2 linked regions of the Lytechinus pictus genome follow. The protein of the gene in region 1 interacts with the protein of each later gene in a pairwise test. Links are inferred from orthologs where the notes say so. Each region holds a gene or a part of one and is shown on either strand. Other genes may lie near its edges.

What was found. The genes of interacting proteins can lie anywhere in the genome.
Region 2: the proteins of PAN2-PAN3 deadenylation complex catalytic subunit PAN2-like (region 1) and PAN2-PAN3 deadenylation complex subunit pan3-like interact in binary tests that used the Drosophila melanogaster proteins (3 or more experiments, as listed by UniProt). The link is inferred for Lytechinus pictus from reciprocal best matches to the Drosophila melanogaster genes PAN2 and PAN3.

Annotation. Positions count from the first base shown.
Region 1 is NC_087257.1:8,241,017-8,244,774, reverse strand, and holds the start of PAN2-PAN3 deadenylation complex catalytic subunit PAN2-like, read left to right. Parts: upstream 1-1,413; 5' UTR 1,414-1,433; coding exon 1,434-1,593; intron 1,594-2,254; coding exon 2,255-2,397; intron 2,398-2,756; coding exon 2,757-2,926; intron 2,927-3,758. UniProt on the Drosophila melanogaster protein: Catalytic subunit of the poly(A)-nuclease (PAN) deadenylation complex, one of two cytoplasmic mRNA deadenylases involved in general and miRNA-mediated mRNA turnover.
Region 2 is NC_087249.1:48,655,075-48,658,832, forward strand, and holds the start of PAN2-PAN3 deadenylation complex subunit pan3-like, read right to left. Parts: upstream 2,900-3,758; 5' UTR 2,816-2,899; coding exon 2,809-2,815; intron 979-2,808; coding exon 881-978; intron 428-880; coding exon 325-427; intron 1-324. UniProt on the Drosophila melanogaster protein: Regulatory subunit of the poly(A)-nuclease (PAN) deadenylation complex, one of two cytoplasmic mRNA deadenylases involved in general and miRNA-mediated mRNA turnover.

The DNA.
Region 1 (3,758 bases):
GCGAAAAGAGAAAAGTAGGAAAGGCATATTTTATTCAAAATTCTTTTGGGCATATTAAGGTGCTAGTATAGAGTGACAAATTTCCTGAAAATACGGATTTAAGCAATATAGAAAAGTTGTTGAAGTTCATGAAATACACAATAAAAACGAATGTCGACCTTTAGAAATAGCACCGAAATACTTCACATCCCCGATCCCCTTAAAAAAAAGGAACCTTGTTGAGATTCGAACCACGAAAGCTTAGATGCCTACGTATTATGCACTGCGCCGCGCTCACCTATTCGCTCGTCGTAGTGAAATTAAGATTTATATATACCGCGTAAAGCTTTACCAACAAAAAAAAATCCGGGACGGGCGCAAAACGCACACATATGAACACACTTCGCTTCGCGAAGCACTGTACACGTGTGTTCATATGTGTGCGTTTTGCGCCCGTCCCGGATTTTTTACTTAGACGAGCGGTATTAATGGCGGCTGGGCATATTAGCTAATATGGCCGCGAGTTGTCACGTGATCCTCGCGAGTCTCGATCTCTAGGCTTATTGTTGAAGGCTTTATATTGGCCTTTATTCAAGGCGTTCATTTTGTTATAATTTTATAATGACGCTCATAACGAAATCAGTGTAGACGAGTCTGTGCAGGGGCGTAACAAGGGTATATGAATAAGAGGGGGCACAGCATATGCCGCGTGTGTAAAATAAAAGTTACGTAATGTAAGTCCCGAGTGAGCAAAGCGAGCGAGAAAAAGACTTTTCATGAGAATCTAACTTTGAGATAGATTTTGACAATGATCATATTTTTTCCTTTCCTCATTTTCTTTTTATTCTTGGTTGCAGAACATTTCGGCGTCATGGGCCAAACCCTTGTTACCCCCCACATTTTGCTAGGGGTCCTGGGACCTCTGGATATTACTTAACCCAATTTAAACCTTACAGAAGGCCGCGGTTTTAATCAAATTATTGTTTATCCAAGAGCCGTTTCGGATCGATACCCCCATTTTAAAACCAAGATTTAGTTCCAGACCACCGGGCCTATTTTCAAATTTGGTGTGGCACAACTCGGTATTGTTATTATTTGAGTAGCCTCCCCCCTGCTCCCAGGGCCCTTGGCCATAAGGACTTTTTGTCCTGATTGCGACTGTTATTGCATACAATTTAGCAATCTTTTTCTCTCCATCTTATCTTTTCTGTTCTTGTTCTTTGACATCCAATCCTATTCCTTCTTCTTCATCTTCTATCCACCTTATCTTCCTCCTCTTTTCTTCCTGTTCTCGTTCTTTTATCTCTTACCCCATCCTCCTCCTCAACCCTTTTCTCTTCACCATATCTTCCTTCTCTTTTCCTTCCTGTTTTTGTACTTTATATCTCTTACCCTTTCCTTCCTTTTCTTCCATCTGTCTCTACTCTGCTCCACTCTACCTCATCATTTACAGGATGGCGTTCCCTCCCCCTGGCGAGCTGGAGTATGGACCAGCCCATGACTTTACCAATGAATACCACAGCCTCGGTGGTGTGCGGCCTCCGATGATGGTAGAAGGGGGCTACGGACCAGAGGATCATGGCGGCCCACCCGTCGTGGAGGACTATGTCAATGGTAAGGTCACAAAATTGTGAGGGGAAAATGATATCTCTTTCATTTTTTTCACTTTTCCTTCCAGAATTTTAATATTTTCATGACAAGCACCTTTTCTATCGGGCACATTTTAATATTGCAGCACATATGGGAAAAATAAAACAGGACACATAAAATATTCAAGGCAAGTCTAAGGGACACTGAGGCCAATCGATACGGCATCCAACCATGGCCCTGGATTGATTTATGCCCTTTCATTCTTTTTTGTGTGTCAGGTTAGAGCTTTGAAATTCATATTAAATGCATGCATCTTTTAAAATGAAAATATCACTCTTATAATGATAAGAAAGTGTCAGTGTTCCAATGATCATTTTGCAAAATGCAATAACTTTCAAACTAGAATACATCTATAGGACTTTAAGCCCGAGATTTTCCTCAAAAGAGTTCTATCATTTATGAACTCCAATATTCTTGAGTTCAAACAGAGGAGGCCATGTTCTTTATGGTTGAGGTTGAAATCCATGGTCTGGTATGGCGTATACCTGGCTTGATCTGCATTAATGTTTTAAGAATGTGCACAGCCTCGACGACGGTGGTGAGAACCTCAAGCCCAGGTTAAATGAGAGTCCTCTCCACAGTTGTGATAATGGGTATCCACCCTTTCCTTTCGTTCTTCCACCAGGGAGTCACAGTCAACTTCACATAGGGAACAGTGGGATGTACCAGGAGCTCCGGAGTGTGATGGTGGACGGGGGCGACAGGTTTGGGGTCTCCACCATCATGGCTGATACGCAAGAAGAACTCGTCTGGGTCGGAAACCAAGGGGTGAGTGAAGACAGCAATTGTTTCTAAAGCTAATGATGATGATGATGATGATGAGGAGGAGGACGGTGATTATGATGAGGAGGACGATGATGATCAATTAGGATGATGATGATGGTGATGGTGATGATGGTGATGTTGAGAATGATTTTGAGGATGGTGTTAAGAATGTTCATCGATGATGATGATGATGATCAATGATGATGATGATAATCCATATTATGACGATGATGTCATTTTGACCCTGGGTAGTCACCTTAGCTTCTTATGTTATCCCATTAGGCCCTACACAACTTCATTTTATTATAAATCTCCTCCATTCTAAAATACTGAACAATCATCCATTTGTCATTTACCCCAAGGGTCACGTGACATCATACTACGGCTCCCAGATGCAAAAGTACACATCATTCCAGGTACACCCGACCAACCCCATCCGAGACATATCCACCTTCCCTGGCGGTGTCCTTTCGCTCTACAGCAACGGCCTCCGCTGCAATGCCAGGCAAGGCACGAGAGTGTTTGATTGCAAGTAAGTCCAGGGTCCTGTTACACAAAGTTAAGTGATTGATTGTAGGTCCGATTTTTTTATGATTCAATAGATACATTGTGGTCAATGCATTCAATCGTAGAAATTTGTTCTAAGATCATTGCCAAGCTTAATACCGGTCCAGAAGAAATTGTAAAAAAAAAAGAGTGTTTGTTGAACAATTACTTTGCAGATATGAGACATAGGCAGCACTATTTCTTCGGTGCCTGTCCAGCAGTGATGGGGTTGTCAAGGTCAACATCTTGACCTAAGGTCATCATAATATTGCAAGAGCAAGATCATATTTCATAAGACTTGGACAAAAATGTATGTACAGTGGACAGTCATTTGATTATCAGAAATTCAACACTACTTCATGTACTATATTGAACTTAGTAATACCAGCGAGACTGCTTGGAGCATTCCAATTGTTTTTGTTTTCAATTATCCATCATTAAAGACACCTGACATATCTTCATGTGGCTTAGTTTGAACTCTTTCCATATGCAATCACATGAAGGATGCACTCGATTTGATATTTCAAGGCACCACACCAACGTTTTTCTTGGTTAGCCCGATCGGTCCACCAAAAATCATCAGTTTCATATTTTTGGTGGCCCGCAAATCAAATTCGGTGGCCTGCAAATCAAATTTGGTGGCCCTGAAACAATAGAAAACATTACAAATTATCAAAACTTTGGTAGCCCAACAGGGCCACCAAGTCTTGGCTTTCACAGAATTTTGGTGGCCCGACTCTCAATTTTCATGTAGGTTTCCCTGGGCCTCTGGGCTATTGCTCAAGTCGAGCCTTGGATATTTACTAAAATTCCTGTTG
Region 2 (3,758 bases), on another chromosome or scaffold:
TTTGCACAATTGATTGCGCATAATATTAATAACCAAGCACAAAAATCAGCCCTAAAATCACACACTACGCTTTGTGATGCATACAGTGTACAGTCCGAGTACTGTTAAATACGGTATACCTTTTCTCACACCATTTTCTTAAACCCGGACTATCATCAACCTCATACTATCCTTAAACCAGTAAGCTAAGCTGAACTCCAGACTTTAGGTGGGGCTAAAATGTAATTTAGCCTTACCTATAGTATGGGGTTCAGGAAAACTTTGCCGGTGAGAATAGGGTACAGTATAAGGAATCAACATGGAAAATAAATAAGGGCAACCAACCTGGTTGGAAAATGGGCGTTTCGTCTCTCTTTTGCCCGCTTGGTGCTGACGATGCCGGTGATCCCGTATATGTTGACAGGCTCGATCCCACTGAATGCGATCGCTTTAAAACAATAAAAATTCGAACAATGTCAAGTATATTTATGAAGAGAACATAAAAAAATGACTTTAGGGGCTGAATATCTCTATGATTATTGCTTCCCATTTTTCAATTCAATTCTTCTATTACATACATGTATGCCTTCCAAAGGCAGCACCAGTTAGAAATTACAAGTGTGACAAATGCATGTAATAACTTTTGAACATGAAAGTTTACCATTCATTTTCTCATGAAAGCTTCTGTAAAGCAATAAGAAAGGTCCGCATTTAAGCTATAGCTAAACATCACATCGATTAATCAAAGTGATGTAAATTCATTTGATATTTTCATGCAATCTATTTTATTTTCAAAATAACTAAAGAAACCGCCACAAACAAACAAGCAATAAACATTTTCATAAATTAGTATCAATAAGAATCCTTTTAACTGTCTGTGGACTGATCATTATTACAGTACCTGCATAAGATGCTGGAGTTTGCTGGTTTGTGGACCATAGTTGTCACTGTCAAACGGAGCAGTGAAGAAATGATCTGGTGCCATATGAGGGTCTGCCACTAAAAAAACAAAAAAATAAATGAAAATATAAAGCTGCAAAGGTTAAATATTATCACTCATCTCTATCAACAGTCACAATTAGGAACAAATTTTCTAATTTCAATTTGATTTTCAGATCCGGGTAATTGCTTGATTTTTTTTTTTTTTCGTGGGGGGGGGGGGGGTGCTAGGCCTGCCGGCTAGTTATTTTCTCAAGAAATTATAAAATGCACAGCAGTATTAACACAAATACATGTATCTTCATTCATACTCATTTTGCCGGTATACGGAGTATTATTTTCAATATATTCTTGAATATTGTTTGTGGCAGATTTGGGGGCAAATCTGGAAGATTGCCCCGAAGCATTCAATTGTGAAATTTTAGAGGCAAAGGGGCTGTGAGGAGTGTAAATTTTGTTTCGTGTACAGATACATGTATTTCCTACATAGATGTTCCCTCAACAGGAATACTGACATTGTTTGGACAAAAAGTAATCTTGGCAATTGTAAGGGATGGGCAATACATGTAGTTTATGTACAGTGTAAGGCATTGCTCTTTATAAAGTTCTACATGTAAGCAGTGACAAATTGATCTGGTGCCATGTGAGAGTCTGCCACTAGAAACAAATGAAAATATGAAGGCTGTAAAGGTCAAAATTCACAATAAAAAGAAAATATTGAAGAACTTGACTTGCCAGGGATACATTTACATGATATTGAACACAACTTTGTTTATAACTTTAAGCTGTATTCCTGTAGCACAAATTCCAATGGCCAGCTGATTGCATTACCACCCACTATTGAAAATTTTCTCTTTAATATTCATAATATTTCATCTATATTTACTGACACTGGGAAAAATACTTATTTCTTTTCTTCCAGGGCTACTTTTGAACTCACCAGCCCAATTTCCCTACATTGTCTGACAATTTACATTGGACCCTATGGAAATTTCTGTGACTCTTTTTATTACTCTTCCAGACTCTGTACAGTGTACACTGCTTGGTATTTCAAGGGCAAATTTACCACGAGCCGGCAAGCCCCCCATATAATTTTTTGATAATTGATAAACATATTCAATGGATATCTGAATAAGAAAATTGCTAAGGAAATCAATAGGTGACGATCAATTACATATATATAAAAAATAATAACAAAGTGACAAAACTTCATTAACAGAATAGTTATGATACTCTTGAAACGATCAAATTCTGATGATAATCATCATTAGCTTGAAAGCATTTCATGGAGCAAATAGTGACTTGCACTGAAAACTGATAAGCCCCCGAAATCCTTTTCGGATTTGCTTACAAATTTGGTTAGTGAGAATCACTGGCATGATGCAGATGAATAAATGGCAAGTCCAGATATTCTATTTCTAAACAATAATATAGATATTTTACATGTAGGGCCCGTATCATTATCAATTTATCTGAAAGCATTCATATATGGTACATTAGTACATTATATGGTACATTATTAGAATGTTACAAAATAAAGGATTATTTTGAATCCTTTCAAGACATTCCAAGCTCATACATGTTGCAACATTTTCATTAAAAATATGAAATAAAATTGATAAATTTTGCAAGAGTCACAATTTGGGTAAATAATTTATTGGCACTATCAAGAAATTGGGAACCACGGTGCATCATTTTGTACAGCAGTGCTGTATTCAGTCATGCACATGGTTCCATTTCTACCTCCATCCCCTTTAGATCCAAGTGCGTGCGTACAAATCAACCACACAATTTGGCCCAAATTTTTCTCCTACATGTACTTTATTAGCAAAGTCAAAGAGCAAGGCATGCATCGCTAAAAACTAAAGAAGTGCCAGACTTTACACTTACGATCCATCTCGAGTTTTTACTGTGACTGTGTCAGTGTGACTGAGATTTGTGTTTAAAAGATGAGTTTTTGAGTTAGCCTAGTTTAGAATGAAGTCGATAGAGGTGAATCAATGGCTGTGCTCTGCGATCTTGGCACAGACATTCACATTAACAGAACTTCAAAAGATGCTCAAATTAAAAAATGCACATCATGTCTGTCAATTCTCATTTTCATTTTCAGAAATACTGTGATTTTGAGGTCAGTCAAGCCCTGCTGAAGAGATCCAGTTCTGTAAATCCTGTCCTTGGCTTGGAACTGTAGTCTGTACTCTCACCAACTGCAACACAAGTGCACAGGCACAGCTCAGCTCAGGCACCACAGACACAGCCAGTTGCACTTGCTCAGGTCAGCTCGCTCAAGTCAATGCTGTTTACATTCGCTCCAACACTAATGACTTATGCACTGATGGGGATGGGGGTTGACGCCACTCGAATCGAAGCCGGTGAGATGCGACACTTTTCCACCGCCTAAATTCTTGATGCTATCTTCCTTGGATTTACAAAATCACAACATTTCCCCACTTATCTTGGTACTATGTAGTCCTGAATGGCGGTGAAGTCAACATGGCATTTCCCGAAAGCGATGAATTTAACCTGAAATTTTCCATATGTGTAGATGTATTACGGAGGAGGAGCGTCCATTCATACATGTAGTTCAATTATTACACATAAAAATGCATTGACGATCTCGTAAAAAATAATAATGAATTTAGTCTACCGTAGATGGGGTACGTAAACGAGAAAGGGGGGGTGGGAGGGGCACTAATGTTCTGCTAAATGGTGACGGGCGGGATTTTTCCCTCAATTTTATCATGTCTTGTGTTTCTGTTGGATCAGAGAGAGAAAGGCTACGGGCGGATATTGGCGACCAACATATTTTTTTTTCAAATACTGAAAAAAAGGAAATTAGG